3 linked regions of the Medicago truncatula genome follow. The main gene of each other region encodes a partner of the protein of the gene in region 3 in a complex. Links are inferred from orthologs where the notes say so. Each region holds a gene or a part of one and is shown on either strand. Other genes may lie near its edges. The genes, in order: kinetochore protein NUF2 homolog, kinetochore protein SPC24 homolog and kinetochore protein SPC25 homolog.

Region 1 (11,469 bases), on a different chromosome or scaffold from region 3:
ACTTTAAATAGTAACTTTTTATAAAAGTTTGTGTAATCATTGCATTGGAAATTGAAAACTTTTAAATTTTGAAAGATAACATTGCGTAGTGGCATATGTGCCACTTCAGTCGGTCAATGGATTCACTTAGGGCCCATTTGGATTGGCTTATTTTAGAGCTTATGCAAAGCAGTTTATGCAAATAAAGAAGTATTAATGTATTATTTATTTATAAATTTGTTAAGGTAGTTTATGAAAAAACAACTTGTGAATATACAATTTTCGTTAGTAAGATCTTATGAATTAGCATAAAAGCTTATTTATTTGCATAAGCTCAATCCATACAGGCCCTAAGACAAGATGATGATGATCGTCATTGTTAAAGAGTCCCACGTCAGATAAGAGATGGTCTGACAATGTGTTCAAAAGTGGGGGCAATTCTCACATTACAAGCCAGTTTGGTGGGGTTGTGTTAGGCCCAACCACACTTTCTAAGAGTCATCATCATAATAATAATAGTTTGATAAAAAAAACATGCCACAATGCCAGGTAATTTGTCAACAGTTTTTAAAAAAACAATCACAAAAAATATCATAACTCATGCTTACACAGATATGCTGGCCATTTGGAAATGGGGCACCAGCATTACTTGCTTGCACAAGAACGTACCTTTAGTTTGCTTTTCGACCAACTTGGCCTCAAGTGACTTCTCCAGTACTTCTTCGTCACCAAGTTTTGCCTTTAATGTTTTAAGATCCTTTTCAATAGTTTTAGCAGAATTGACCTAAAGGAAGTGCTAAAGAAATCAAACAAGAGGTTTTGCACAATAATAACTATCTTTGAAGGAAGAAAAAGCCCGCAGATCATAATAGAACGTTTCATATCGGTCTTGTAGAAAATGTATTTGATATATTTCAAAGTTGTTAATAGAGAACAACCATTAATTAGTTTAAATATCTTTGAAGGAAGAAAAAGCCCGCAGATCATAATAGAACGTTTCATATCGGTCTTGTAGAAAATGTATTTGATATATTTCAAAGTTGTTAATAGAGAACAACCATTAATTAGTTTAAATAGACTCTTCTAAACCTAATGGGCCTGATTAATGGTGAAATACAATTATTACTAACAATTACAAATATACATTATTTACAACATATCTCCAAGACACCACCACCATCATGAGCTTCATTCAAATCCAAAATAACAAAAGAAAAAGCTTTTCCTTCCTCCATATACAGGGACAAATTCATAACAAAATTTCAATCGTCATGCTAAATGACAGAGCATGAGTCAAATAGCCATAGGACAAGGAATACCTGCTCTTGTGTAACCTGCACCTGCTTGTAGTGCTTTGACATTTTTTTGTGTACCTGACAAGTAATGGATAAAGTGATCTGTATTATCTAGGACAAAACATTACATTGTGAATAGAAGTCATAAACCCATGAGATGCAGTTTACTTTTTTTAAGGCTTTGTTTGGGAGTTTGGAGGGGAAGGGAGGGGAGGGCTTTGGGAGGTTGGAAATATATAGAAAAATGGACAAAAAAAAATCACATTTTTTGAAAGAACGGTTTTTCAGAGAATGATAAACTAATACTTATGATTAATATACTTTTAATTTTAAGAATATTATGACAACATAGATTGGATTTGAAAAATTCATATAAACCCTCCATAACCCCCCAAAACCCTCCCCCAATACAATTTTTGAGTTCCCCCAAATGAGGGGGATTTTTTATTACGAGTAAAAAATTAACCTCCAAAGCCCTCTCCTCCCAATGTCTTCTATTTCTTCCACTTGCTCCTTCCTTTTTTCCAAAACCCTCCCCTCCCCTCCAAACTCCCAAACAAAGCCTAAGTTTCCTTTCTAGAATGAGTAAATGGCTACAAGGTTAGTGCATAGATTTGTTTAACCAATATGAATAATGTTGTTGCCAAAAAGAAATATGAATAATGTTGAAACTGAACGACAACATCTGTAAGGAAAATTCTAAAAAGCAGATTAAGTGATCCCACTAGCCCTATTATGTTGCAGCTTATTCTTCAATGCTCTTTACCAGGGAAAATTCAACATGGTATACAGACAAATCATAGCTTGTGGATATTTAAAACACCCATGGTTTTGATACAAAATAAAGATTCTAAAAACACCATAGTATTGTATGGAGGGAATACCGTCCTATGACAACATACCTTGGAAATAACTTCAACAAGGGCAGTCTTCTCATGGAAATTGTGCATGGCTAATCTTTCAGCATTTCTTGCCTCCTCTCGAGCTAATTTCTTTTCCTCTAGAGCTCTCTTCATGCAAGATAAGGGAAGCAAATTTAAATAGGTAGAGGCAGAAAGATAAAATCAGAGATTACTCTACACAGCAAGAACATCTTAAAATAAGCATGCAGTGTTTGTTCACCCGAACAGTGATAATAAATTCATGGTTAAAATAAATGTTAGTGCCTCTAGTCTCCTCTTACTTTCAATTTAGTTCCTACAATTTGTTTTCTTTTCAATTAAATTATCACACTTACAAACATCTTCAACAGACTGATTTAAAGGAAAAGAGCAATTATTTCAAGCAAATACCCAAAGGCTGAATTCATGAAACATGCTAATAACACTGTCAAATACCAGAATAACACTAACAGTGACCTGTTTTACGTCAAATACCATTTTTTAACATATGAACTATGAACCAATGAAGATAGTTTTTGGAAAAACGTATAAAAGAGTCTATTTCTACATTTCCATATCTCTGTCCTTCTCCCTTGGGTCTGCCTACCTATTTCCTACTACTACCAATTTCTTACAATTTCACCTCAAATCTCCTACAGCAATTACCACCGGAAGCACCCACACACAAAATGAATCAATGACAATTTGGTAGGAAGCATTAAAAACAGAACCACGGTGGAAGATTCATCATGATGTCCACCCACCGAGCCCACAAAGAGCTTTATACCAATTGATAGAAGATACGGGTATATTATTAGTTATTACTGAAAATGGGAATCCCTTTGATTACAAACAATGGCAGCACATTGAGGGTCTGCCTGCCTATGCTAAAAGGCCCTATTCCTCTCAAATGGCAAGATGATTCCATCTCTAATCCTCCTCTCTATTTATAGGCAGCATGTCTTATTTGGCCTAACTACCTCTCAAGTCTCAACTCAGCTACTAACTACCCATTAACCAATTAACTAACCTCTTAAATAACTACTTAACTAACAATAACAGACCTATCAAGCAGCCATTATGTTGTGACTTTGGTGTAATGCAACTATGAGTTATTCTTTTATGTTGGGTTGTGTAAACAATTATGCATTTTGAGATGCTACTTGTGTAGTCACAATTTTTTGATACAATAAAATTATGGAATATGAAGGACATAAATTATGTTGGATGATTTTTTCTCTGTTGCTGATATTGTCAGTAGCTCCTTGTTTTGCTAAGCGCAGGTGTTATGTTACAGCAAGCTTACCAGGCTAAATATGTATTAAGTTAATGTTAGCATGTGCACCGGTCACTACCCAAGAGAAGGTTGTGAGTCGCGAGAGTTTTCCACTGTGGTAACCACACAGAGGTAAGGGCAGTCCTATAAAACACATTTACAATATTCACACAGGAAGATGGGGTGGAAAAATGCAATGTCCATTACATTTCAAAGCTAAGATTGTAATAAGTTAGATTTTGTGAACAGAATAGACTAATAGCCAACATGAAAATGATACCTGTACTTTATCAGGCGATTGAGCAATTTTTGAAAGTAGATTTCCATGCTCTTGAACATTTTGTACCAGTTTATATTCAGCATCAGAAATCTGAGGTAATAACAAAAGGAAAATCGAGTTAGAAGTAAGAATTGTCATCAAGTAAAATAATTTATCACCAAGTACCAACACAGGAATTAATATATATTATAAACTGATCAGATTAAGCTGCAGTCTGCAATATATGTTCAAGTTACATAACTGACAGGGTTAAATGTCCTAATCCACCATTAATTATTCACATAAACATCTATGCCTTTACTGAAATGTATTCCATATACTACTCAAAAAACCCAACATCAAGAAGTAAGACTATGCAACTCATTATGCTAAACTTTCACTATCGGTTAAAGCATACCTTATCATCCATTTCCACAGTCTTCTCCTTCAACTTCTTTATTGTACTTCTCAATGACATCTGTTTATTGTTCAGGTTCGCAATAGTTTGACGCAACTCTTTAACTTTTGCATCCACCTCCTGAACAGAAGGCAATTCCCTTTCCCTCGCTTCATTGCATTCAGCAATCGCCAATTTCAACTATAACAGAATGAAAATCTATCAAATAAAACACCAATACCAACACACACAAAAAAATAAAAATAAAAATCATTCAATATTATAAACCTGTGTAATATTATTCTCTTCAATCTCAACTATCTTCTGTTCCAACGCGTTGAATTCGTCTACGATTTCTGATATCGCATTCAATCTCCCATCCCTGATTTTAAAAAATTTAACAATTAGGTTATGTTTTATTTTTCCTTGATGATTTAGCAGAAATGGTTGAAGAAGTGAGAGTAACGAACGAACCTGTCGAGACAGAAATTGAGAAGAGCTCCAAGGAAAAACTCGGTTCGATGAGGATCGGGTTTGAGAAGATCGGCAAAGTTAAATGTGTATTTCTTAGGACATTCAAGTAAGTTAAGCATTTCCTTGATCTTGTTGTAAAGCTTGATAGCATGAATAGATCCAACGTGAAGGTCGGGATTCTCGAGATGCTCTAGTGCATCGAAATCAAGCTGTCCGTTGTCTTCGCTGTGAGAAATTCAAAAAGAGAATAAAAATGAAGCGCGTGAAGCGAAGATTGAAGAGAAGGGAAAGGGATAGTTACTCGTGGAGAAAATCGAGGTAGTTGAGGATGCGAGTGTAGAGATCCAAAACGACGCCGGTTCTGGGGTTGGAGATGTCGTTCTCTGTAACGGTAGCAATTTGAAAGTTGTTTAGGAGTTGAACTATTTCTGGCCGGCGAAGCCTTGGGTATTCGTAGTTCGACATCGCCATGTTCTTCTTCAACCGCTACTCAGACGCAGAGATTGTTAAAGTGACCGTGTGTGTGATTCAAAATTGAAAATTGAAAATTGAAAATTGAAAATTTTGAGTCCCGCCCAAAGTTTTTTAGTATTTAGTAGAGTGATACACGAGCAGTGCGCGTCTGTACGGATCAAATCTATACAAAAATCAAAATTACTGGTGAATAGACAGACTTATTGCTCCTTCATTGATTTTTGTTCAATTGTACAAATTGAGATTGAACCAAAAAATAAATAAATGAAATTCTGGATAATTCTATAATGTAAAGATTTTTTTTAATTTTATTTTACACACTCTCAAGCTAGGTCTCTCACACAAAACTTTTTTATTTCTACAATACTCATTTTCTATTTTGAATTTCTAACATTGACTTCATTTCACACGTCACCGCTCATCGTTCCTCTAGTCCAATCTCATATCGTCACTTCTCTAACTCATTCTCATATCATCGCAAATCTCATGCAATTTATCTTCGGACAAACCCGATTATGTTTTCGTATTGTCATGTACTTGTTGAACCCAAATCTCATCAAATTTGATCGAATTCGTAGACATATTTAAATTTAAAAATTGGTTCGATCTAATGTGAATACCATATTCAGATCACATAAACCCGACTTAATCCGTTCTTTTTTTACCCTTAATATTCATATATTAATATCATAACAGCTACACCCAAATTATTATTACTATTATTATTATTATTATTATATGAAAAGACAGATATTGATATCATAATGATTGCACCCAAATGAACGTGTAAGGATGTAACATTACAAGCAAAGCATAACAAATGTAATTTATCTAACAAAAGTACAAAAACTCTGAATAAATTAAAATTAATCACCAAAACAGAACTTACTTCCCCATAATACTACTTTCATGGAGCCACCCAAAACAACACATCACAAGGCCCAAACAAACTTATTCTCTTGAGACAAGATCAGTCACCTTGATTCAAACAAACAGAACCGTAGGAAAAACTGATACTTAATTTAAGGAAACAGCTTCTGCATGATTCAACTAATATGAAAAGAGCAACTGGTATGAAATTTGCAAGGCACGCATATAAAAGTTGAATACATTATTGATACTTAAACTCTAGTATAAAAATCAAGCAGCATTGATGGCAATTTTCACACCAGAACCGCAGTGACCTGGAAAATTGCACATGAAGTAGTTTTGTCCCTTAGCAAGCCTGACCCGATCCTTCCCTGACCGATACACTTTAGATCCCCTTCTTGGAGTACTGCACTTATCATACACTTCTTTGGTTACTGCCACCACATTGTGAGTCCCTTGCCTATAGTTGAACACTGCACAAACATATGAAAAATTATATTTACACTCAAGAAATTGGATAATTATTAAAAGAGTCGTATAAAAAAATATCTTCTGTGTTATATTTTTTTTATTAGAATAATATTAAGATGCTTGACATAAAAGAAAAGAATAATGTTATTAACCATAATATTAAGAGGAAGCATTGAAATATGGATAGTGCCATATATATATATGGATTTGCTAAAACACACCCACTAGTTTTTATGTGGGAGTGTTTTAGCAAGCTACATCTTAAGGTGTATTTAACTACTTTTTAGTTAGGCTTAAATATGTAAAAGGTCCCTGTAATTTAGCGTGTTTTTGTTTTTAGTCTCTGTAAGTTTTTTTTTTCTAAAACAACCCTTGTAATTTCGAAACCTTTTGGAAATCATCCCTGACGTCAGGTTCCGTCAACAAAAAAGCATTGTTGGGTAACAGAGACACACGTGGCAGTTTCTGAGTTGGCAAAAGTTGCTGACGAAATGTTCATAGGGACGAAAACCAAAAACGCAAATGTTCATAGGGACGAAATTGAAAAAATGTAAATATCAAAATTTCAAATTTAAAAACAAGATGATCTTCTTCATCATCCCTCTTTTTTCTCTTGTTCATCTCCCTTCCCTTCCAATTTCTTTATCTCCCTAGAAAAAACTCATCCCCTCGTGGCAATGTCTTCTCATTCCAATTGTGAATCTCCCTTCCCTTGCAACAGCTTTTGAGGCTACTCAATCTCAACCAAATGTGAATTCAGTTTTGACAAACACACCCAATTACTATACTTAAAACAATTAAGTGATTCTGCATCTTTTGAAGCAGTTTTATTTATGTATATAACTTTATTACAAATTATCTTATTATTAAGTTTAATTACTATATTATAGAATTGTGTTTTCCATAGCTTTTCTGCTATGTGACAGTCAAACAACAATGTGGCAACTGCCTCCGTACAAACCTCTACACAAACTCAATCACATAACATTGGGGATACTGCCTCTGCATAGACTCAATTACCCACCAATGAGGCAGCCTAAACAATAAATTAAACATATTAAGCTTTTAATTAAATTAAACTTTGTTAAAATTATACAACAAACATAGTATTATAACAACGAACTCACCGTAAAGGTTGGACATTTTCAATATCTCCTTTTAGGGTTTTCATTTAAATTGGAGATGAACATCCTTATGATTTTGGAGATGATGTATTAGCAATGGAACGAGAAGACATTGCCACGAGGGGGTGAATTTTTTCTAGGGAGATAAAGAAATTGGCAGGAAAAGGAGATGTAGAAGAGAAAAAATAAGGATGAAGAAGAAGAAGAATATATTGTTTTTAAATTTGAAATTTTGACATTTACGTTTTTTTCAATTTCATCCCTATGAACATTTGCGTTTTTGGTTTTCGTCCTTATGAACATTTCGTTAGCAACTTTTGCCAACCCAGAAACTGCCACGTGTACCTCCGTTATCCACCAATGCTTTTTTGTTAACGGAATCTGACGGCAAGGATGATTTCCAAAAGGTTTCGAAATTACAAGGGTTGTTTTAGAAGAAAAAAAACTTACAGGGACTAAAACCAAAAACACGCTAAATTACAGGGACCTTTTACATATTTAAGCCTTTTAGTTATAACTTGCTAAAACACACCTTCTAAAAAATAAGTGGGTGTATCCTAGCAAATGCGTATAGGAGTTGCTAACATACACCCACTTATATTTTAGAAGGTGTGTTTTAGCAACATTCACCTTAAGATGTGTATTTAACAACTTTTTAGTTATATCTTTACTAAAACACACCTTAATAAAAACTAGTAGGTGTGTCCTAGAAAACCCCATATATATATATATATATATATATATATATATATATATATATATATGACTTTTTTTAATCAAGGCAGAGAGAGTAAAGACTTCCCTAGAAAAAACAAGGAGATGTGTTGGGGGGGGGGGGGTCACCAATATGGCCCTCATGTCGAATAGTATTAGGACAAAATAGCATCTTTGTATTTTTTTTTTGTACGTTTTCAGTTCTTAGGAGAAAGGGACTTTGATCATTTTAAATTTGATTGAAATGTAAGTAAAGTTTGACAAATAATTATTATAGATTTATGGTCACGATTGTATTAGAGTAAAATTTAATAATTCTCTAGTGATTGGAAGATACATACCAAGTGTGTCACCAGCCCTAAATCGTTTTCCTCGAGACCACCCAACCGTGTTAAAGGTCCAACCTACAGTACCTCCAACATTGTAGGTAGCAGCATGAACAAGCTCAGAGTTAAGAACAAAAAAGCAGACTAGTAGAACCACCACACTGCCTCTTCCCAGAGCCATGTTTTCTCTACTAGTACTTGCTAGAAAGCTGTGAAAGAAAGGGATTTGGATGTAAGAAAATTTGGAATAATGTGGTAAGGTTTTATAATTGAGGAATGAGTGAAGAGGTCTGCAAGAAATCTTATGGGAAGTTGGTTAGATAGTAGATACCATAGACGTGGGTCTGCCCAAAATATTCAATCCGTAATGATTCTTGAGATGTATGATTTTTAGCACAAGTTGTAATTGATAATTAAGGTACTATCAATTTATGATAATACTAGTATTATGATAGTGGTTCAAGTTAAACTCCACCAGTTCTAAATTGTCGATAGTACATTTGACTTTAAATTTGGTTTCATGGCACCAGCTTCGCACGTATGCCTGAGTGCTAACCCATTTCCTAAGATGGAACTCAACTAACAGCATATGTCAACCTCCCATGGCATAATTTTTCTTTGAAATGTCCTACAAGAAAGTACATTAATAGATGGTGATGTCATGGTTGACCTGGACTTATATTGTTATATAGTATTTCTCATTTTACTATTTTTTTCTGTAAAAAAATACTTATATGATCACAATCTCATAAAAATTATTTAAACACATATTTATTTATGCGTGTCTAAATGAGTTTTAGTTAGGTTTATGAACAAGCAAGTGTGACTCTACTACAAGAGTTTTTGGACATTTTGCTCGTTCACAATGGTTTCATAAATTTAAAAAGGTATAAGCAAAATAAAATACGAGGATAATAATCATGAAGGAGAAGTTGAGTATGATGATGAGGTAGATGATGAACCTCGATCTTATGGATGAAGATGCGTTGTCTAATTTTGATCAATATCTTGCTTTTTTTCCATTTAAAAAAATGACAAAATTTACATACAATTCTTTATATGCTTTTTCAAATGGTTCTTAACTAAAAATACAATATATTTTTTTTAATATAACAAACTCTAAAAAAATTATAGATTTGCTAAAATCACAGTGAACTTAGTTAAAAACCATAATAATAATAACTTAAGGAATTGTACCTAAGTTTTTCCTTAAAAAAAAATATATTTTTTTTCTTGCTAATGCAAGCAATATTTAAGAAAGCAATGCATTTTGCTGCCAATGTAAGCAATATTTTAATTTGAAGTTGGTTTGGCATCATCAGGTTCGTTCCTTTGAAGGTGTCGGTGTTTCTTTGGCGGCTCATTCATGATCATTTACCAACCAAAGATAATTTAGCAATTCGCGGGGTTATACCAACATCAGCGTCTTATTGTGTTTCAGGATGTGGCCACGTTGAAACAGCCGAACACTTATTTCTTAATTGCACAACTTTTGCATCGTTACGGCAGCATATGCGTGAATGGATTGGTTTTGTGGGGGTCGATTCTAATAATATTTCCGATCATTTGTTGCAATTTACATTGATGACAGGTCCTGGTAAAGTTAAACGTTCATTCCTGCAGCTAATTTGGCTTCTGTGTACTTGGGTTGTACGGAACGAACGATACAACCGGTTGTTCAATAATGTTGTAACTGTAGTCCCCCGTCTGTTAGACAAGGTTAAATTGTTGTCTCTAGGGTGGCTTAAAGCCAAAAATGTAATGTTTGTTTTTGGCACGCGTGATGGTCAAGCCCTTTTGCTTGTTTGGGCATTGGCTAAACACTTGTATGCCCACCTTCCATTACTGACTTACTCTATTGTACTGCAGTAGTTTTCTAGGCACACCTTGTGCTTATAATCTACTTTTTGTTTGGTTATATAATTCAATTTTGGCTTGTTCAAAAAATAATTAAAATAAAAAATATGACAATGAAGTTAAAAGGTTTAGGGGAAGAATGATGGTGTATGTTATAATTTTTATGCATAAATTTAAGTATATATTTAAAATTAAATACACTTCAAAGATTATTTAAAATTAAATAATTATGAATTTTTATGATCAATAAGTGTAAGCCACTTGATGCTTATAAGAGATATTAGACATGAGAGCAAAACTCGCGCGTGTCCATAGTTAACCATCCAAACCCATTTCTTGCTTTGATTAGGTATGAGTATGAATTTGAGTTTTCCTCGATTTCAAGACATATGTATGGAACGGGTAGCAGGATATAGGTAACCACCCCGAACCCATACCCAAATTTGTCACGTAAAAAATTGATATTTTGGGTATATGTTGATATGTCATTTTTTTAGAGGGTTGATATGTCATTGTTATCCGATTTATAAAAGTAAAGCATATTGCTGGATAACGTATACAACACTACCATTGGGGCTAGAAAAAAACTTTTGTTTATATAAAAAAAAAACATTCAATACAGGGACATGACATGGAAACACGAACCTCTCAAAACGTGAATGAGATTCAATTTCTTATCTCATTGACTATGAGTAAGGTAATGGATAAATATACGAGAGTTGAGATTGGGAACAGGGAAGGTGAAATTCGTACACACCCGGCCCTATTGCCATGCCTAAGAGATATCTTTATACTAACAATTTAGAGTTTTTAGAAATAGTCTATTTTAAATTCCTTTCCTCTAAGGATGTCCACCTCATCAAAAGCCTACTTGGCATATGTTCCCAAAATTCCTCCTAATTTTTAATACAAGCTTAATAATTTTAATTATTATTAAAAACCGTTTTTTATTTAACATTAAATTGTATATAAAGTAAATAGTTGGTTACAATCAGATAATGATTAATATAATTACTGTTTCGATTAAAATTTATATTTTACAATAAAAATTTGAACGTTACAAATCAAATAA
Region 2 (11,030 bases), on a different chromosome or scaffold from region 3:
AAGAAGAACAACAGGAAGCCAAATTGGCAGAATAGCAAAATTGCTCAGATGAGGATATTAAGAAGGTACAAAGAAATCATTCACATGGACTGATTTCAGCATTTCCTTTGACACAAGCTATCTACACTTACATTATTCTTCCGGTACAAATATGTAGATCTCTTCCAAGGTCATTGTTTGATGAAGCAAGAATATGAGCAAAATAAATTAGATATGCGTTATCGGTTTATCTTTCAGTTTCATATGCTCAGTATACTGCACATTAGACTATATAACAACAAGTGGCCAACCATGTGAAGATTCAAACTAGTATTTACTTCATGACATGACATGAAAATACTCACCAATGAAACTTAGTGGTCAGCAACTCTATTAAAATTGTAAGGCTTTCATTTCATGATACATTGAACTTTTCAGTCATCAAGTGAATTGTTGGATTCCTAACATAGCACTCAATTTGAGAAATTACATAATGTTACAAACATGATCCAACAGAGACATGTTTGACATGCATTAATCACTTATTGTTTTCCAGATGTCATTACATACATCAAGGACAGTCAGCTGTGATGTGTCGTATTCAAATTTCTCCGCCGCATTTTTTTCCTTTTCAACAATATCTGCAATTTAAGTTTAAGGAGCAAACAATTCTTGTCTTTTCAAAGGACAAAAAAATCATTTACAGAAAACCTGAAGAAGAAACATGGGGAAAAGAGAATGGTACACTCAACAAAAGGATACAGCCTGAAATTTTTGACTGATCGTCCAAGTTTGGAACAATATTTGTGACAGAAGCATACATCGAAAGTAGCATCCTGAAACAAAATATAATAATAAATATAAGTTCCAATTTATATGGGAAATGTAAAAACCAAGAACTGTCTTCAGTTTGGGACAATTAATTGACTTTACTGTTAACATTGAGAAGCCACATTCATGTAATTGAGACCATAATATCGAAGCGGACATGAATAACAAATAGCAATACATATATGAGGCCAGATTACAATCTTAGAGCCTGTTACTTCTCATGTTTCTTGTTTTCATTTTCAATTCAATCAATAAACATAAGAGAATATATATCCAATATTTTCCTCACCATTTTCTTCTACAATTTCTGTAAACAGATCTGACATTTTTCAGAAATTTTGAAAAAGCCAAAACATTGTTTTCATTGTTTCCGGAAATATATTATTTATAGATTTGTCTTCCATCTTCTCTCTATTACAATTGTTCGCTACATGAGTCTTCAATCTCTTTGTTAGCAATTTAAAATGAACATAAATTTTGGAAAATGAAAGCTGAAAATGTTTTTAGAAAGTAAACAGGGTCTTAAATTCAAGTTTTGCAATGCACATACCTTGTCCTCTGCTTTTCTTGCTCAATTTTCAGTAATTTCTTTTTCTGCTCTCGGACAGAAATTTGTTGTTGTTCTAGATCATCAAACTCGTTGCTAATGACTGTGCTGATACAAAATGGATGATAAGATACATCATTTCAAGAAGATTAAAATCTAAAAAGAGCATACAATTGAAAAGCAGAAAACTAATAGACTTATCTAAACTCCTCTTTCAACAGGCTTTCTTTTTCAAGTTCTTCATCCAGTTCTCTCTGCAAAAGCTCCAGATCCGCATCAGCAGCAGTCTCGGATCTAGCATGCTCAATTTTCTGTTTGTGCGAATCTATTTTTTTCTGATAATCTGATTCAACTAAGCATTGGTCAAGCACATAATACAATTATACAATCAAGAATATCTACGCATAATAGATAGCATTGATATGAGCTAGTTGAGCTAAAAGGAATTACTTTAGATGGGTGGCTATTAATAGTGCATCACGGAAAATAGCAAGAAAGAAAAATTCCGCTATGTGGAATACCGGATAGCGGAAGCCACATATCGGTTGGAATAAATCAATTATGTAACTAAAAAGCATGCTATATACAAATAAAAATAAGCTGAATACAGATAAAAATCAACTGTATAAAGTGACAAAATTAACTCAAAAAGCTCAATTGTTCATAATTCTGACTAGTGATTACTCAAAGCAGTAAATAATGATTGAACATAAAAGACAAAAGATCTATTCATTCTGGTCCCCTTTTCCAATATAATCATCATTCTTGTTGTCAAATAGTGAATCGCATCTTTCAACTTCTACTTTAGAATCCTCAAAATCAATTTCTTCTAGTTCTTATTGATTTTTGGTTTTGGCCATCCTTATATACAACTTTCCAATTAAGGGCATCATCATAGTAGGAGACTAACAGGAGAATCACTGAAAACTCATTAGAGATGGAGCAGGACATATAGAAAGGGAATGGAGGCAGAGCTCAACAGCTGGGGGGGTTCTGAACACTGCCACCCTTCTACAAAATAACATAGTCCTCATAATAAAACCATACCAGAACACAATGCCAAGGTAAACTCTAATAACCATCTGATTCTTGCAAGATAACTTCAAAAAAAAAAACACACACTCAATTAGCACAAACACTTCTCCATATTGACAAGCCCATCATGTAGAATTCTACAGGCTTCCACGGTCTGCGTCCTGTTGTGCTGACCAGAAACTTCTGCATAAACAGTGCAGCTGGATGTGCACCACCACCTCCAATCTATTAATTATGGTGAATTAATCTCATCCACTTAAATGCCACCCACTTCCTATGATCTACTTTCTGCCACCAGATCAAACTTGTATTTTGAAAGCACTGCATCCCATTCCTCCAGACCCACGATACAACCGTCTCCTGTTAAACCATACCACCTCATTCATAAACTTTATCATAGTTATATACGACTCCCCAAACATATTAAAGGCTGAGAACTATTGAGATATTGGCTACTCAATTCCTAGAATTTGGACCTTCAACCAATTCCACAATGAGATCTTTACCGATTCCAACATCTCGTCCAACTCAAATGATTTTCTCCCAAAAACCATTTTATTTCTGCTTTTCCACATCGCCATTGACCCCCTGCTCACTCAACATCGTCAATCAATTTCTCTTCCCTTTGAAACAACCTCTTTTTCCAGCTGCATTTCCATTCCCGTGTTTCTTAGACAAAATTACAAACTCCATTCACCTTAGCCTCGTTGTTGTTTGCTATGCTATACAATCTCCAACATCTATCTTGAAAGGTGCCATCTACTATCCATTTGTCCAACCAAAATATTGTATAGCTGCCACTTCTCACTAACTTTCTCATTCTATCCAAACAGCAATTATTTTGAGATTCCCATATTCCCTTTTCCATCGCTTTGCTGTCTCGCCACCAACTGGATTCATTACCAACCACACGCACTCCATCTTGGCTTCCATATTTAGCCATTATCGCCTTTGTGCACAAAAGTTGTCTTTCCACTTTGAGTCTCCACACCCATTTTACAAGAAGTTCTAAATTAAAACCTCTCAAATTCTGTATACCCAACCCACTCTCCCCATATCTCTCTCAACACACTCTGTCCCAACTAACGACCCAATGAATTTTTCTACTTATCATCAAAATCTACGTACGGCGCTATAGAACTATAGTGCCGCTATTTCCGTATTTTAAAGCATTGCTTTAGAACGAAACAGTTCCATTGTCATACCAGACACTCACACAAACTACTTCCAGTTGAATTACAAGTGAACTTTGTATCAAATCGAACAGCATTTCTTATTTTCCATTATTATGACTTAACTATGTAACTGATACCACATCTAAGACAATGATAGAGAAAGAGAATGCAAATATTGAAAAACCATATTGCAAACTTCCACTCCATTTTTACATAGTTATACTCTTCAAGTTTTGAAACTGTTAACAAACACCTTAATTGCACATGCAACACCTCAAATAAATAAATAAATTACACACTAGTACTAAGAGATCCAATCCAATAGTTCTCCATATAACAATCCCAATTGCCAAATAAACATAACATAGCAAATAATCACAGCCACAGTAAGTGTAAGAAACATGAAAACTTAAACCTAAATCCCAATTTTTTCTGACTATCATTGTTTGTGAATTTCAACTATTAATATTCATACCAAACTTAAAATTAGCAAAGTAAAACACCAAAAGAACAAACAGCAAATAAATAATGATGGGCAACACCAAAAATCGAAAACCCAATAAAAAAAAAATCATAAAAATGAAAACTTTAACAAAACAACCCAAACCCCGTAATTATTTTGTGGTAGAAACGGAAGAGATAGAAAAAGGCAAAAGAGTAAATTGACCTTGGAACGAGGAGAGAACCTCATTGAGGTCGGAGTGGCAGGAGGAAGAAACGGAGAGTGTGTGGTGGAGACATTGAGAGATGATGTTGAGATCACGGTCATTAGCGGGATCTTGCAAAACCTCAATGAGGTCGTTGCTTATGGAAATAAGCTGATCCACGTCGAAGTTTCTAGAAGAATCAGAAGCCATTTATGTGGAAGAAGAAGAAGGTGGTTTTTCTTTCGTTCGAAATTGGAAGAAGAAACGAAATTGGAGTTGATGAAAGTAAACAAGGTTTCAAAATTGGGGTTCTTTTTTTTTTTTTTTCCTTTGAGTCGGAGGGAAACACTTTCTTTTGATTAAACCAAGAGAAATGACATTCTACGCTCATTGTGACAACTTTTAAATAACTTTCTCTCTAATAGTCACGTATATTTTTATTCTCTCTATTTCTTTGTCTCTCTCCATTGTTTTTGATAGATTGTCACCAAAGTTGTCATCTATTGGATGTACAAATATCACTACTCTTAAATGAATATTCCCTCGGTCTCAACGATTGAAAAAAAAAGAAGTATAAATTGCATTTTTGGTCAGTTAACTATTTAGGTAGTATTGCTTTGGTCCTTTAATTAAGATTCGATTTATTTTGGTCCTTTAACTTTCTCTCTGTTATACCTTTTGGTCTTTTCCGTTACTTTTAATTCAAAAACGTTAGTGTTTCTTCATTTTTTTTTGGAATTTTTCCTGGATTTTTGTTGTTGAAGGTTGATGGAAATGATATGAAGATGAAAAACAGGAGAAGAAAATGAAAAAACTCTAACGTTTTTTAATTAAAACTAACGTAAATGACCAAAATGTGTAACAGAGAGAGTTAAGGGACCAAAATAAATCGAATTTTAATTAAGGGACCAAAGTGATACTACCTAAATAGTTAAGGGACCAAAAATGCAATTTAGCCTAAAATAATTGATCCATTTTATTTTTTTTAATACAATGTTAATTATTATTTTTTAATTATAACTTTAATTAAAATTATTTTCATCAATCTCAATTCAATATATTCTACTTTGCATTTATGATAATGAAGAATGCATAAATACTTGACAAGACACTCAAAATTATTTTCCTCTCTTCATCAGATGGAGGAAATAGTTAGTATTAAGATTAGATTTTTAAAAAAGTTATATAACCCCTTTCGATAGGAGTTGGAATCCTCTTCATTTAAAGAACATCGTTAATTGAAGAGAAATGGACCATTGAATACAATAATTTTTATTGTCAAATAATCTAATAGTTAAAATTCACCTTTTTAAAATAAATAAATAGGATGTTGTAACACCCCGTTTCCCAAAAATCAATTAATTAATAAAACATGCATCAGAGTAATTCCCAAACGGGCATGTCACACTTCATTTTCAAAATTTTTTAAGTAGAATATAAAATCTATTTAATAAACGTCCTTCAAAGTCATCATTAAATTTGCAGCGGAAAATTTGCATCAAAACAACAACAGCAACAGTTTAAATCTCCATAATTAAATCTTTGGCATAAAAGCCTTATCAACATAAATTCAACAACCATAGGGCTACGTCAGCAATATTCAAAATTGATACATAGGAATGAAAAACAATAAGAAAATCCCATCCCGTACGTATCAGAGCCCTAGACACTTTGAGCCACCACTTCTAATAAGCTTCAATACCTGCAAGTTACCCATACGAAAGGCAACAATTCCAAGCAGAAGGGGTGAGATTCACAAACAATAATAATAGATATATAAATCATCAACTTAATTAAATAACGTAATAAGCAACATATATTCCCACAATAATATTTATACTTCTTCAACTTTAATAACTCTTACTAAATCAACCAACAACGACAACAACAACTCGACCACAACAACAATATCTCCATCAACAACAACGACCACAACACAACCTACAACAACCACAATATCACCATCAACGACAACATCATCCACTACTTCAACGACAACAACGGCGTGGTACTATTTTCAACACATTGAATGACTAAGCATTCCGGGGCATAAGCCCCCCACAATTTGAATGATGAACATTCCAGGGCATGAGCCCTCAACAGATTGAATGACAAGGCAATTCCAGGGCATAAGCCCTCAACGGTTGAATGATTAACATTCCAGGGCATGAGCCCTCAACAATTTGAATGGCAAGGCATTCCAGGGCATAAGCCCTCAACGGTTGAATGACGAGCATTCCAGGGCATGAGCCCTCAACGGTTTCCTAATCATGAAAGGACTCGACTTGTGTATATCAGCATACAACTCAACTACGACAGCAACAACATAGGCAACGACAACGATCGTGCATAATAACTCACTCACTCCCCAACTTGGTCAACATCAACAACCTATGACTCCGTTACTTGGAAACGACAACTCGCCACTTACAACTCGAACCAACACATTGTACATTCTAATTGAATGCAGTTAAGTATAAACCAGCGATCATTAACAATCATAATCAATCAACAGCAACACAACAGTATACGTCAGCATGATATGATAATATTTTATACAATCCAACGATGTCTAGCATTATCACATAAACCAAGTATTACTTATACAATTTTATCACATTAATAACCTCAATTTGCCATAACCAGCTTCACAGTTCATCATTTATATCCTATACATCTTTCATTGCTATCTCAAAGTTCAGCTCACAACCTCTCATGCGACAAAGCCACATGAAAATCCTAAACAAAGCAATCTGTCAAGCACTAGCTCGCGAGGCGAGAGCCTCTACTCGCCACGGCGAGTTAGGGTAAAACACTCTAGATTCCATTCTGACTCTATTCTGAGTTCAAACTCAATCTAAAACTTTGCCTAATCATTAAGGTACATGTTCAGGCCCTCATAAACATCTAAGGTTAAACTCACAGCTCAAAATCACGAGATCTTGCAAGCTCTCTGGTCACACTCGCTACGGCGAGTAAACTTGCTCGCTATGGCGAGCTGCGAAATGCAACTCGCGAGGCGAACAACTCCTGCTCGCGAGGCGAGCGATGATCTTCATCACTCGCTACGGCGAGGATCATCTCTCGGGAGGCGAGCGATGAATAACAGTACGGGCAGATTACAGTTTTTCTCAAAAATTCACCCAAACCCATTGTTCTAACCTTAAAACTGATTCTAAACATCAATATATGAAACATCTAAGGTCTGTTCATCATTTCTACATCAATTCACCCTAATTCCATCATTTAATCATCAATTCTCTCCTTAACCCTAATTCTCAATCCTCCAAATTCATTCATAACTTTTGTCAAACAGAATCAGAATTATATAAACTAAAATCATTGCAAGTTAGCCTCACCCTTACCTTAATTCAGATGAACAAAGCTCTACAATTCTGATTTTCTTCACCTGGCTCTCCCTTGGTTCTCTTGCTTTCTCTTGTTTTCTCCCAAAACTGATGTACGTGAAAACAGTTTCTCTCCTCTTTCTAACTTCTCCCTTTTCTTTTCTAAACCTAATTCAACTTCCTCTATTTCCACTTAATCCCACACAACTCTCCTTATTTCTAAATCAGCCCCTTGAACTCCAAATATTCTAAATTCCCACTTATTCTATTAAATAGTAAAATAATTCATTTAATAAAATATGACACACCACATAATCAACATAATTATATAAAATCATATATAAAAAGACTTTAAATCAACCAATAATAATTAAATAAAATTGGGGCGTTACAGATGTTGTGTCTGATGTTCGAACTCGACCTATAAATATAGAATGTAATGTTTATATCAACTAAGTCAAGTTCACATGGACAAATACAACAATATTAATTGAATAATATGATTATATTCAATAGATTTATCTCTCTTGAAATGATAGTATCTATTAAATAGAAAGGATCTTTAACTCTCTCAATAGGACTCTCATCGGAGTCTAATGATTCCTGGTTTGGATTTCAGTTTAAAAAATGTTCAAACCGATCAAATTAGAATCAATTCAGTTTGGTTTTCAACATATCAATTTGATTTGATTTTTCAATTTCATCAATTTTGTCGGAACCGTTTACACTCTTAACTCTCATTTTAATAATGTAGATATATGCTTGCAAATTTCAATTACAAGTTTCTCTATGAGTATAAAAAACAAGTTTCTCCAAGAAAATTAAACAAATGTAAGAAAAATATATATATCTCCTGCTCAAGAAGATTTTAAATAATTGTCATTCAATAATGAATATAAGCTGTGTTGTTTAACGAGGTATTAAGCATGGTGTTTCTGATTTTAGTGCAATTATTAATGACTGCAAACGTCTCTGTGAACTTTCATGTGAAGTTCGGTAGTGTAACGTCCACTTTTGTTTAATTAATTATTTAATCGAGTTTAAACGAGTTATATTATATTTATATAATATATGTGTGAATTTTGTTGATTTATGACGGTTTAGATGATTTGGATGATTTGGATGTGTTTTGATGATTTGATGAGATTATGAGACTTATTTTATTGTTAAATAAAATAAGATTTGAAAATAAAATAAAATATTTAGTTGAGGGCTGTTTTGAGATTTTAGAGAGTTTTTGAGGAGAAAGTGAGATAAGATAAGATATTAGGAAGAGATATAAAAAGGAAAGACCTAGTCTTAGAAAAATTAGTACGTACGACTGTTTTTGGAGAAAAGGAGGAAAAGCCAAGAGAAGAGAGAATCACCTAGGGGAAAGTTGCGATTTCTGCAAAACAAGGTAAGGGTGAGACTAATGATTCAATAATATTGATTCTTATGATTCTGATGATCAATTAACAAAGTTAGGATTGAATTATAAAAGTTTTGAAATTAGGGTTAATAGGAGAATTTGATCATCCGATGATGTTTAACTGTTAGATTGTTGTAGAAAACGTCCCTTGACCTTAGATTATGCTTAGAATGAATTCTGGAACTGAAATAGGGCTTAGAACCAAGAGATTAGATGAATTTTTGAAGAAAACTGCATTCTGCCCGAGCCAACATTCATCGCTCGCCCTAGCGAACGATGGTCCTCGCCTCGCGGGTGATGAAGTTCATCGCTCGCCACGCGAGCCTTTTCCCCTCGCCTCGCGAGTTACATGTCGTAGCTCGCCACAGCGAGCAACCTTACTCGCCATAGCGAGCATGACCAGAGAGCATGTTGATTTTCGTATTTTGGACTTTTGAGTTGAACTTTAGATGCTTTTGAGTACCTTTAGATGTCTACTAAAGATTAGAGGATGATTTAGAACAAGATTGAACCTGGAACAACCGTAGTTGGAAACCTGGCCTGTACTCGCCATGGCGAGCAGATGCTCTCGCCTCGCGAGCACTTTCAGAACTGAGTGCTTTTGAGATTGTCGTGACCTGAGTTGATTGAATTGATTAGGAATGGAACTTTAGGTAGTAATGTGGCCTATTTAAGATGTTAACTGAGATCTGTGAAGCTGTTATGAATTGTTAAGCTGTTTGTAATGTGATTTAATGATTAAATGCATTGCTTGATTTATTCTTGAATAACCTTGAAGTTGTTGAAAATGAAATTGTTGTTATGGAATTATAATGCTGTTGTGATCTGATTATGCTGCTGTCGTTATTTAACTAAGTTGCATGAGTCATTATAAGATGAATAGATGTTGTTGAACTCCAAATTATTGGATGCATATTGAGATGTTGATTAAGATTGTTTTAGATTGATTGAGTCCATGCACTAGCATACTTGTTGGGGGCTCATGCCCTGGAGCTTTGTCCTCACCACGAATTGAGCTTTGTCCTCACCACGATGCCTTAATAGTATATTAATACTATGATTGTTGGGGGCTCATGCCTTGGTACCACATGCATAAAGAGGTTTTTCCTTCAACCCCAACAAACATCTCAAACAACAGTTAGTAACTACTCTTAATCATAACAATTACTAATCTTTTTTTTTTTTTTTTATCATCAATTCATTCCTTCTATTCATTTTGCATATTCGTTAGCAACTTGACCGGATCCTCATTGCTTGAAATATTGGCTCTTACACTAACCATCCCTGTAAGGCTTTGTTTGCGAGTTGGATTTTGGAGGGGATGGGAATGGAATGAAAGGCTTATGGAGTGGTAAATCTTGTTTGCGAGTTTTAAAAAAACAAGTGAAAGGTTTTTTTTTTGGGGGGTTTCAAGGGCTTCAGTTGTCCAATTTTAAAGTTCCCCCAAATTGAGAGTTTTGGGGGTTAAACATACAAATTGACGATTTTGCTCTCTTAATAATTCAAAATTCCAATTTTAGACATTACTAAAATTATTACAATCTTTTTTAAAAACAACTTATTCAAAATTCCAATTTCAGACATTACTAAAATTATTTCAAGGGCTTCATTTGTCCAATTATTTTGCCCTCTTAATAATTCAAAATTCCAATTTTAGACATTACTAAAATTATTACAATCTTTTTTAAAAACAACTTATTCAAAACAACTTATTTATATAAAACAGTTTATTACGACCTCATTTTCAAAAACCGCTTATTCAAAACAACTTATTTATACAAAACAGCTTACTACGACCTCATTTTCAAAAACAGCTTATTCAAAACAACTTATTTATATAAAACAGCTTAGTACGACCTCATTTTCAAAAACAGCTTATTCAAAACAACTTATTTATACAAAACAGCTTATTACGACCTCATTTTCAAAAACGGCTTATTCAAAACAACTTATTTATGCAAAACAGCTTAATACGATCTCTTTTTCAAAAACAGCTTATTTATACAAAACAGCTTATCACGACCTCATTTTAAAAAAACCGCTTATTCAAAACAACTT
Region 3 (10,763 bases):
AAAATAATACCTTAATTTCTCTAATTAGCTGCACGATGTATGCATGATACATCATATCGTATATTTACAATATATGACATGAAAATTCTCAAAAATCGCCAACAAACCTAACTGTTTTAACTAACTTGAATTAAAATACAACAAATCCAACTGTTGAGCACCCCCAGATATTGCATTCGAATTGAGATCAATCAACTTGCATCTTTAATTATTTTGTTTCTTCAGATTTCACATAGCAGTTTAGCACAATATTAAAAACATGTTTTCCTCCTTCAAATGGGTGGAACCAGACAAAACCGTAGTTTTTCCCTATCATAAGATTCATCCAAAGGTGAAATTTTTGGACACAAGAGGAGGGAAACAAATAATAAAAAATCATGGAAAACCATTTCAAATACATTGTCAATAAACTATATCAACACCCTAATGACTGACGGTTACATGATTTTGGGAAAAATTAAAAGAACTATACAAATAAAACAAGACATAACACACAACCAGAACTACATTGACATCATAGTTTCAAAAATAGCTTAGCAACCAGAACATAGATATGTCTGGAATGTGTGAATTTGTTAGCAAACACTTAGCAACCTGAGTAATGAGTTATGCCTGCAAGAGAACCTCGGGAGCTCAGCACGTAGCATCAAATGAGGTGGCAAACATCCTTTGTATTTTATCTCCTAGTCTGTCACATATGATACATCAGTTTAGCCGAGTTCTGTGCAAGAATCATATAAATAAATCACGTAGAAAACATGCCATCATAACTATTTACAAATTTATTGATGAAAGAACACGTGCAATAATAACCCTGCACGCCTAAAGCACCCCAGGAGGCCAGGACTCGAGAATGAGTCATAAAACCTAGAAAAGGAACCCCAGGTTAAGTGCAGCTGAGTAGGTCAGAGCCTAGTTACCGTTCTTTTAGCATTTTTATTTTTCGCCACTCAAAATTATTTTAATCCAACATCAATAAATACAAAATTCAAAAGAGCATTATTTCGGATAATAAAGGTGCCTCCCCATTAGATAATGCCTCCATTTACACACTGACTGCTGACACAGTGAGCAGTCCTGCACTATAGTCATTAGCTCTCTATCATAAACTGATTTCCTCCCTGATAGTTGTTAGCTAAGGAAAGCTAGAGGATGTCCCTATTGCAGCAGCACAGCTCCCAAGCATTTCTCGAAACATCAGTTTCAACAATAAAAGCCATGACCAAATCTGGGACTACAAAGAGCCTAGGACAGACAGTTAAGTTATAGCTTTAATGCTTGGACAACATGTTCCATTTGTTTAGATCATTAGAGGTTATCTCAAGCAATTCAGTAAGCGATTTGGCAACTAACCCGTAGTTCTTCAGAAATTTTCTGTAGTATCCTATCAACCCCCAAAACCTTTTTATGACCTTCACGTATTTGGGGCAGGCCACTAATTTATTGATTCAGCTTTTACAGGTCTGCCTACAGCAACCCCTTTTTGTGACGCAATTTGGCCAAAGACACTACAGCTTCTTCAGCAAGTTTACATCTTTACCCCCAGATATTACATTGGAACAATCGAAAAACCTTCAGGTGCTCAACGTGTTCTTTTGGCCCTCTATTACAGCCTTCACAATTCGCCCATCAACTCTTGGAAGGTAAAAGGTGCATTAGCAAGTCCAAATGACATGCCAGAATCAGATAGCAGCTGACTGTATCAATTGCTGACAACAAGAATACAAGCTAGGGAATTCCATAACCCTTCTTTATTCTCTAATATACATTATATGCTTCAGCTAACTACAGTTAATACATTATTAAGTTTTCTATTTGGTTATAACTTCCCTGCCCCATTTACCAATTTATTCTATTCTTCCTAAAACACACCTTCTTCAAAAAACAGTGCTTGTCAAAGTACAATAGACAACACTGCAACTGAAAAGTATCAACATTCCAGAGTGGTGATCATAAACGTCTACCTGGGTGGTTAAACAAAAAAATTCAAGAAATACAACATATAGTAATTCATACCTTCAAACGTGGAGACTGGCGAACAGATGAAGCAGAATCAGGAGATAAACGTGCCAAACTTTTCCTTCTGCGAACTTGTTTTTTCTTTAATTGTGCACTACTGCCAGAGCGTTCCACTTCATGCTCATTTTCCATGGTTGTAGAATCACTTCTAACAGATGTGCCAGGAGCGGATGAAGATATAAAGGCAGATTCTCCAGGATTGACTGTTGTTAGAACTAAGCTCCCTGTTTAATAGCAATTAGATAAAGTTACATTCATTACAAGCAACCCTTTCATCCAATTTCCAACAAGCGAAGATACTATTTAATTAGACATGTGAAGAAAATATATTAAGAACAATTATACTTATATTCATATAATAATAAGCTAATGAGAAGAATATCAAATCAACTAGAACCATGTTTGAACAGTTCAATAAGACATATGAACTGGTAAAACATTCATTCAATAAATTTTCTTCAAATAATGAATAAACATCATTATAATATGAAGTATTTGGAATTACTATTATTATTAATAGAATCACTTCGTATTGGAGCTCTGCATATTTGGAATTATTATCATTTTACAATTCAAGCGGTCTTTTCAGTCTCCAATATGCAGAGCTCCCACATCACATGCATGCACTCATTTAAAAGATAGAAACAAACATTGATACCTTGTACCAATGCTTCTTGAAATTTTTTCCTCATTACTCTGACAAACTTAAACAGACCATCTGTCTTGTTTAATTCATGGACCAGCTCTTCAATACCATCGAAGGAAGGTTCACAACGTAACACTGAAAGATAAAAGAGATGGTGTAGGTTTCATGAAGTGTATATACACTGAATATTGTATAAAATCATAAATGCAGGCTGCTTACATGTATAAGTATTTTTATCATGGAAGACAGTAAAAGAGTACTCCTCATTTGGATTCTTCAAATTTATATTCTTGAACGTGAACTTTACCCCTGAAGAGCATAACTAATAAGGATATCAACTTTGTGAAGAAGAATAAAAAGAAACCTTATGCAAAAAAAGTTAATTGTCAATTACCACGTCCCCCTTTGACATGAAAACCAAGTACCCTGTTATACCAAGAGATGGCCTCATGTGTTTCGTCTGTATGTTCAATGCCTTCATTCAACCTCCCTTCAGATGCTGCCAAAGCTTCATATGGATTAAAAGAGAAGACGAGGGAGGTGAGAGGATATCTTATAAAAGTACATAACATTTCTTTTAACGAAGTAATTTCAAGTTTAGTAAGTAGAACAAATCAAATAGAATATATAATAGAGAAGAAACGCAAAAACATAGTTCCTCAATCAAAACTTAGAATGCATAACATCTGTGCAACAGCTAACATTCATACTTTTTTTCTTGAGAAAATGTGTTCAGTATTTGTAAACAGTTCATACATTCAAAAATAATGGAAGTGGGCATCATGATATCGGTCAAACATAAAATCTCCCGATTTTGTACAAGACAAGCTTTTTTGAAGCCCAAATTCATTAATTCTACCACTTTGATACACAAAAGGGACCAACGATATCCCATTACTTCATTACAACTTTAAAAAAAACCCTAAAAAATTTAAAAAGACTGACGGTGCTTAAACAGATGTAGTAAACCAATGCCTGTCTCCCGAGAAGTCACTTGGTTGAGATTCTCTCTTCAACCTCAAGAAACTTGGTTCAAGACCCGGCACCAGAGATGTAGTAAACCAATAACCACCCAGCAAACAGAAACCCCAAAACGACCACAACATAGTTACAAGCTTAAGAACTACGACCACGACAGTTCAAACTTATAAATACATGTTCTGTAAAAGCAATTAATGAAGAACGTATGAGTTATGACAAACCCATTGTTAGAAAAACATCCTTCAAATCTTATTTTATAACAGGCGAACTTAAAATCTTCAAAAATGATTTTACAGGTTGCATGATAATCCATGTCTTACTAGTTCTATGCTTCCAGAAGAAAAACAAAGATTTACATGTTGAAGTAGCTACTAAAAAAAAATGTTAGCGTCTAGACATGACAACCTCATAGTACATGTAATCTCGATACTTATGCAAGATGGCATTTGGCTACTTTATGTTTAACATACATTGTGTGCACAATATCAAATAGATTGAGCAAACATCAAATATATGTCCTATAAACAAATAAAAATGTAGACTTGAATAGGGAACAAGTTACAACCATGTCCAATCATGATGTCGACAACCATGGATTAGCTTATTTTTTATCTCATTAAAAATAGCTTATGCAAATAAATAAGTTTTTATGTTAATTCATAAGTTCCCACTAGTGAAAATTGTATTTTCTCAAAGTTCCCACTAATGAAAATTGTATCTTCATAAGAGCTGTTTTTTCATAAACTACATTGACAAGCTTATGAATAAGACATAAAAGCTTATTTATTTGTATAAGTTGTTTTTCATAAGCTCAAAAATAAGCCAATCCAAACGGGCACTAAGTCAATGTTAAATTCCTTCACCAAACAGGGTTTGAATCTGTAAAAACATAAAATACTTAAATAGCTACAAATTGCAGCATTTGCAGGAAAAAGAGGTTAATTACCGAGTGATTGCTGCGATAGAAACGAGATATATTCTTGTTTCCTCGTTCGAACCTCTTGAATACTTGAGTTGAGATTTCCAACTCTAGCCTTAGCAGAAGCAATAGCATCTAACAAAGCCATTCGCTTAGCCTCTTTACGCGTCTTTTCTGAAAAAACAAAAACAAAAAAAGTTCACAAATTTTCCCTTACTTAAAACAAATAAGCTTAAAATTGAAAACCCTAATACTTATACAAACCAACCTGCGAGTACTTTAACCAATTCATCTTCCACTTCCTTCAATTTGTCTTTAACCTCTTCTAATTGAACTGAGAAGGAAAAGTAAAAATGAAAACCCTAATATGAGGAAAAGAGTGAAAGTGAAAATTGAAAGATGAAACCCTAAAGACCTTGAGTTTTCGCGGTTTGTTGTCCGGTGGTTTTAATGGATTGGAAGGATTTGGAGACGGAAGCGGCAAAGGCGTCGATGGTGTGGATTTGTTGAGTGATTTCTGAGTCGCGATGGGTTGAAGAAGTTGAACACTCCATCTTTCTGGACTCACTCGTATCCAGTGTTTTTGAATTTCATGAGTTAGAAAAAAAAGCTCGAACGTTGTTGTGGTGGGCCAGTTTCTCAGTTAAACTATGTAAATGAAAGTGTACTTTGGTCATTCAAAAACATAAATTACATCTCCAATTCATTTAAATAAGGATTAATTAAGTTTTTAGTCCCTATAAATATTTAGAATTTTGTTTTTAATCCCCATAAAATAAAATCACATTTTTTAATCCTTATAAAATTTTCCATCAACATTTTTAGTCCTTATAAAATTTTTCATAAGCATTTTTAGTCCCTATAAAAATTTTCCATTAGCATTTTTAGTCCCTAAAATGCTTAAGGAAAATGTCACAGGGACTAAAAAGTGTGATTTTATTTTACAGGGACTAAAAACTTAATTAACCCTTTAAATAATGACTATTATAATATCTAGTTCATCATAATTACACGACTTGTTGTAATTTTGTTTTTCTATAAAAGAGTCTAATTTGAGGCCTATTTCGTTTAGTCAGTGAGAATCACATTGTGTCCTGAGTTGCATATCGTGTCTATTACTAGTTCATACAACTCTCACGGATAAAAATGACTATGATACTGTAAGTCATTATTGGTCGATGATGGGATAAAACTGTAAGTGCACGGTTTATCGATGTAGTAATAAAAAGTATCGTTTTGATAGGGAGTTATGAATTTACTTAACTTTCAACAATGATTAGAAAAGAGTTTTAGTTTGCAAGTTTGGATTTTTAATTAAAATAAAATAATAAAAATAAAAGCGCATTGTGATTATTGGTTCATCTAAATAACAAGTCCTTCACAAACAAACCCTAAACCATAATTTTATATTGGATTTACTTTCTAAAGACAAGTTTCTCTTTGAACCCTTGAAACCCTTCACAAGCAAACTTTGTGAGTGTGGTCCTCTAGCAACCACGCATATTTTCATGGTTGGTTGCTATTAGAATCATTGAAGTTCGAAACTTTATATGTCTCAAGGTTTGCTAGACTATTTTCATGTTTCGCAATCCTTGTCTAAATTCATTTGTTCCAATATCAAAACTCCACTTTTGCTTTATGAATTAATATTTGAGATGATAAATTAACAATTACTAACCCTCCACTTTCGCTTCTACAGTTTGGTAATTGTTAATACATGTTAAAACGGTGAATTTAGATTAGAAAGTAGATTTATATAAAATTAGGGCTCAATGCTTGGTTTGATTAGGGTTATGTCATTTAGACTTACCCAACAATCCCAAGACAAGAAGAGTCTACTCACTCACGTTCATTGTAGACATAGAAAAGAAGAAGAAGAAGAAGAACATAAAATAAAGGTGAACTTTTATTCAAAGAAACAATTGTCACTTATTATTTCAGATAACAAAAGATGAATTGTTGTGATAGCTAGCTACTCTAGTTATAGCCTTATGTCGACTTAAAACCTAAGCAACTATTCACTAGAATGTTCCACAAGAAACCACGGGCTTTTAGATCAAAATAGGTAGCTTGTTTCCGAAGCAAAAGCAGCAAAAGAGCACCCTGAATCAGCTTCTAATCCTCTTTCTTTTGCTCCAAGACTCAATCTATCAAATATTCGTTCATGAAATATAACAATATGCAATTGAAGTAAAATAGTTCTAAAAGGAAATAATATTTAAATAAATAAACTTAAAATCTAAATAAAACAGAATCAAATATTATATTAAAACTACTAATTATTGACTCATCAGTCGATTCTTAAAGAAGGATCGATCAGTATGTATGTTCATTCATGTTGGGTTTTATATATGGCCCATTATTTTATCTTTTATCAACTATTATTTAACTTGTGTTTTTTATACGTTTGATCTAAATTTATGTTTGATGTGCAAAAAAATATTTTTGGTGATTTAATGTTCTAAAATGTTGTGGTTCGGTGTAAAAAATTGTTTTAGTCTGACGCAGGAGTGGATCAGATCCTAACATCCAATCAATTTGTAAAAAGTGATCCTACAAAAAAACATAAAATTGAACAATTGAATTCTAACGTCTCATCTACAGGGGTCAGTTTCAAACCTTATACCTATTTTTATTTTGTGGTGGTCACCTATGACCTTGCATATATTATGTATTGTCCCTATCAACTGAGCTAACCTCAAGAGGACTAAACCTTGTAACTATTGATCCATAACTGATAGAGTTGGATCAAACGTAGCTCCCAAAATGTAGCGAATGGGAGTTCGGGTCCAATATGTTCGGGAGTTAGAATCCAAGGGAGGTATTTTGAAGTTTTTTAGGGGGCGTGAGCAATTTGAGAGTCCCCTAGAGCAATCTTCCTAATATATGTGAAAGCAAGGCCCGTCGAAACGCACAAAGGGCTATGATAATTGGGCATCTGCAATATTACTTTTCCCACCCTATACCTTTCCTCACGCGCCCTATTTTTTTTCTTCCAAAATACCCTTTGTCCGAAAAATATAATCCGAACTACTTCCGGAATATTAATTCCGGATTTATTCGTGGATTTTGGCACTTAATCACCCTGATGGATGAAGATGTCAGTAATGAATAGATGAATCCGGATTATATAATCCGAACAATTTATATGATTTTCGTATTATATAATCTGAAAAGTGTAAATCACCCCGTTGAAAGTCAACAAAAGTGGGTGGTGAACGATGGTTCCGGATTATATAATCCGGATGTTATAAATCTGTCCGGATTATATAATCCAAACTGCATCAGTATAGAGGCAGAAGTCATCTGTTTTGGCTGAGCCTATGTTTTAGAGTAGATTTAGTCAATGTTGTTGGCCTTTGACCATATGCAGACCAAAAAATCAAGTTATAAAATCGAAATTAACAACACAATATAATTTTCAAACATTAATAAAACATAATTATCCAAATGTTACATAACATTGTGATCCAAAATATTCAAACATTAAAAGTAAATAAAATACAATCAATCCCTAATAACTACACCCTAGCACCTCTGCCACCACCCCTGCCACCATCAGTAGCTCCCCGACGACGGTAAACTTTCCCGTCATTCACCTCTTTCAACGCGTCCTCCAAATGTTACCATTCCTCAGTCCTTTTCGGCACCAGACCACTTCTCATCACAACATAGATGTGGTCTCTAATGCGGCTCATCCTTCCGCTAAGCTGTAAGTAGGCAAGGTCTCCATCCTTCTGAGCAGCTCGCGCATCAAGGATCTCACGCTCCAATGACCTCGGCACCGGTACCGACATGTTTGGAAGAATCATGTGTGGATGGGAATGTCGATAAAACCAATCGGTATATCCATCTTCTGCCTCCACACCATGAACTGCAGGCTCTACCAACTGCTTAGGTGTCAACGCATAATCAAGTGCACGGAGAAAGCGGTTTGTGATCTCCGCCAAATTAACATCAACAACTGCACCCTCAACGGGATGTCCCGGTATGGTCTGAACCCACCCAAACTGACGAAGCACCCTCTCCGGCAGATATCTCACCATGCGGCCTCTGAATCTCAGCCATCCAGAGCAGGCCAGTCTCGTGTGGGCCACCAGGATAGTCATTTAGTGGCTCAGGGTCCACCACCTTCTCCTTCTTCTTTCGCCTTTGTCGTGGCTCGACATCTTCCATTTCCTCGTCCATAGCATGCAACTCCTCCTCAAGTTCCTGATCCTCCATGTGCTGCAAGCCCACATCAGGCTGCTCTTGCTGCAAGTCCATATACTCTTGCCACTCTGGCTGATGCTCGACACCAGGCTCTACATCAGCATGACGTCCTCTAGCACCCAGACGCCTCGAAGGAACACCACCTTCATGCCGTTGGCTACACGCTCTCCTACGGGAAGCATGCTCTGCCTCCCTTACGCGCCGAGTATTAGATGTTGAACCTTCTGTAACATTCAAATTAGGGTAATCAATCATAACAATCAAACATCATAATCAAACTGCACATAACAGAAGCAAAAAAAAAAAAAAACATTATGGGTTCGTTCGGATTTCAAATTCCAGACATCAACAATCCTGTCCGGAAAATGAAATCTGGATTGCACCCGACCAGAATTCCAAAAAAAAAACTACCAAATTAACCATGCAAGTGTACAGAAATCGAACTTACCTTCCATGCTGGTTGACAAGGGTTGAAATGCGGTGCTTTTGAGCAACAAAACTCCAAATTTGGACAAGATTTGCGGTGTTCGGATTTTGGGATAATGTAGAGAGAGAGAGTGAATGGTGAATGTGAAAATGTAAAACTGGGGGGTGAAGTCCCTTTTATACTTCGCAGTTGTCCATAATATATATTTCGGAATATGCATATATGTTCCAGATTATAAAATCTGAAGGACATTTTAGTAATTTGCATAGGGCGTGCGAGAAGGCCATATAATGAGAAAAATAATAGTCTATATATTTTCATATACGCCCCCAATTGCCACACTGCTCTATTGAAACGGTAAGGTAGAAGATACTTGTGAGATATAATTTGGGGGCATATTATACTTTTGTCATACAATTATATACTACTGTTTTTTTCAAATACGTGCAAAGTGTGATTGTTAAAGCTCACTTGTCTCGTAAATATAGCTTAGAAGGTAAAAAAAAAAGGTCTACATCGATATTTAATATGTCGTGGTACATACAATTATACACTTCTCGGTACTTATCTTTGTGTGAGTTTTTCAGTGAGATTCTTTAAAGTTAAAAACATATTACAGTGCACTTAAGCACAACTGCACTCCGTTAATTCACAGTAGTAATAAAATCTGTAGCATGATTAGAAAACATAACATATACATGCTACAAATACTTCTTTTTTTAAGGAACTTATGGTTCTTCATGACATAAACTTTGGGTATTGGTCAACAAAAGAAACTTTGGGTTTGCCATTGCACACTCGCACTCAGCAATCATTTTAAACTTCAAGCTCCGCCCCCTTGTTTGTACAACGGTTTAGGCTTCTTTTTCCAACGTCGAAGTGAAAACACTATTTAAAACTCACACACAAAACTATGAGGTATCTGAGTGAAAATGTGTGACTTAACTAATATTACAATTGCTAGCTGAGTTATATCCTATGCACACAATTTAAGGCTTAATTAATTGCAAATATATAATGACTGAACAATTGCTTGAAGCTTCATTAGCTCTCATGTTAAAGCAAGAATCAACCTTCAAATTAAAAATTGGTAGCGTAGGTCATGTATAAACATTTTCATATGCTTTCATCCATGTCTTTACCTTTTTGACCCATGAAGTCGTTTATTAAATAATATATCTAGCGTTTGTCATACTCAGCCTCGCAAGTAAATTTGTCATATCCGGGTCTCTATAATGAACTTAATTAAAACACTATTAAAAACAAATTAAATAATGAATGAACGATTGCTTGAAGTTTCATTAGTTCTCATGCTTAAGTAAGAATCAATCAACCCTCAAATCTGCTGGTCTTGAAAAGATGTAATGCTTGCCATGCATAAACAATTTCATATGCCCCAATCAATCTTTTAGTCTCGTGATTTTTTTTAATTAATATTACTAACCCACTTTAAACTTTACAGCCGAAAGAATAAAAGGTTAATACTATGTCACTAATCTTGAAGCAAGAGAAGAACATTCCATATAACCAAGGCAATTGAAAGCAAGGACGAAACCTTA

What was found.
Region 1: kinetochore protein SPC25 homolog (region 3) and kinetochore protein NUF2 homolog share a complex: the UniProt entries of both Arabidopsis thaliana proteins name them as parts of the NDC80 complex. The link is inferred for Medicago truncatula from reciprocal best matches to the Arabidopsis thaliana genes AT3G48210 and AT1G61000.
Region 2: kinetochore protein SPC25 homolog (region 3) and kinetochore protein SPC24 homolog share a complex: the UniProt entries of both Arabidopsis thaliana proteins name them as parts of the NDC80 complex. The link is inferred for Medicago truncatula from reciprocal best matches to the Arabidopsis thaliana genes AT3G48210 and AT3G08880.

What each region holds. Positions count from the first base shown.
Region 1 is NC_053049.1:40,975,404-40,986,872, reverse strand, and holds the start of kinetochore protein NUF2 homolog, read right to left. Parts: upstream 5,215-11,469; 5' UTR 5,033-5,214; coding exon 4,863-5,032; intron 4,787-4,862; coding exon 4,562-4,786; intron 4,470-4,561; coding exon 4,376-4,469; intron 4,289-4,375; coding exon 4,109-4,288; intron 3,802-4,108; coding exon 3,712-3,801; intron 2,285-3,711; coding exon 2,177-2,284; intron 1,353-2,176; coding exon 1,299-1,352; intron 764-1,298; coding exon 649-763; intron 1-648. Other genes in the region: basic blue protein, read right to left, coding at 6,176-6,378, 8,556-8,721. UniProt on the Arabidopsis thaliana protein: Acts as a component of the essential kinetochore-associated NDC80 complex, which is required for chromosome segregation and spindle checkpoint activity to ensure proper cell division.
Region 2 is NC_053042.1:48,945,603-48,956,632, forward strand, and holds kinetochore protein SPC24 homolog, read right to left. Parts: upstream 4,559-11,030; 5' UTR 4,425-4,558; coding exon 4,235-4,424; intron 1,701-4,234; coding exon 1,559-1,700; intron 1,463-1,558; coding exon 1,361-1,462; intron 816-1,360; coding exon 742-815; intron 621-741; coding exon 514-620; 3' UTR 269-513; downstream 1-268. UniProt on the Arabidopsis thaliana protein: Acts as a component of the essential kinetochore-associated NDC80 complex, which is required for chromosome segregation and spindle checkpoint activity to ensure proper cell division. Required for the maintenance of plant architecture.
Region 3 is NC_053045.1:51,668,156-51,678,918, forward strand, and holds kinetochore protein SPC25 homolog, read right to left. Parts: upstream 5,206-10,763; 5' UTR 5,120-5,205; coding exon 4,981-5,119; intron 4,900-4,980; coding exon 4,834-4,899; intron 4,740-4,833; coding exon 4,593-4,739; intron 3,174-4,592; coding exon 3,060-3,173; intron 2,975-3,059; coding exon 2,885-2,974; intron 2,801-2,884; coding exon 2,678-2,800; intron 2,244-2,677; coding exon 2,017-2,243; intron 722-2,016; coding exon 692-721; 3' UTR 689-691; coding exon of another isoform or gene 677-688; 3' UTR 182-676; downstream 1-181. Other genes in the region: uncharacterized protein, read right to left, coding at 8,538-9,001, 9,226-9,424. UniProt on the Arabidopsis thaliana protein: Acts as a component of the essential kinetochore-associated NDC80 complex, which is required for chromosome segregation and spindle checkpoint activity to ensure proper cell division.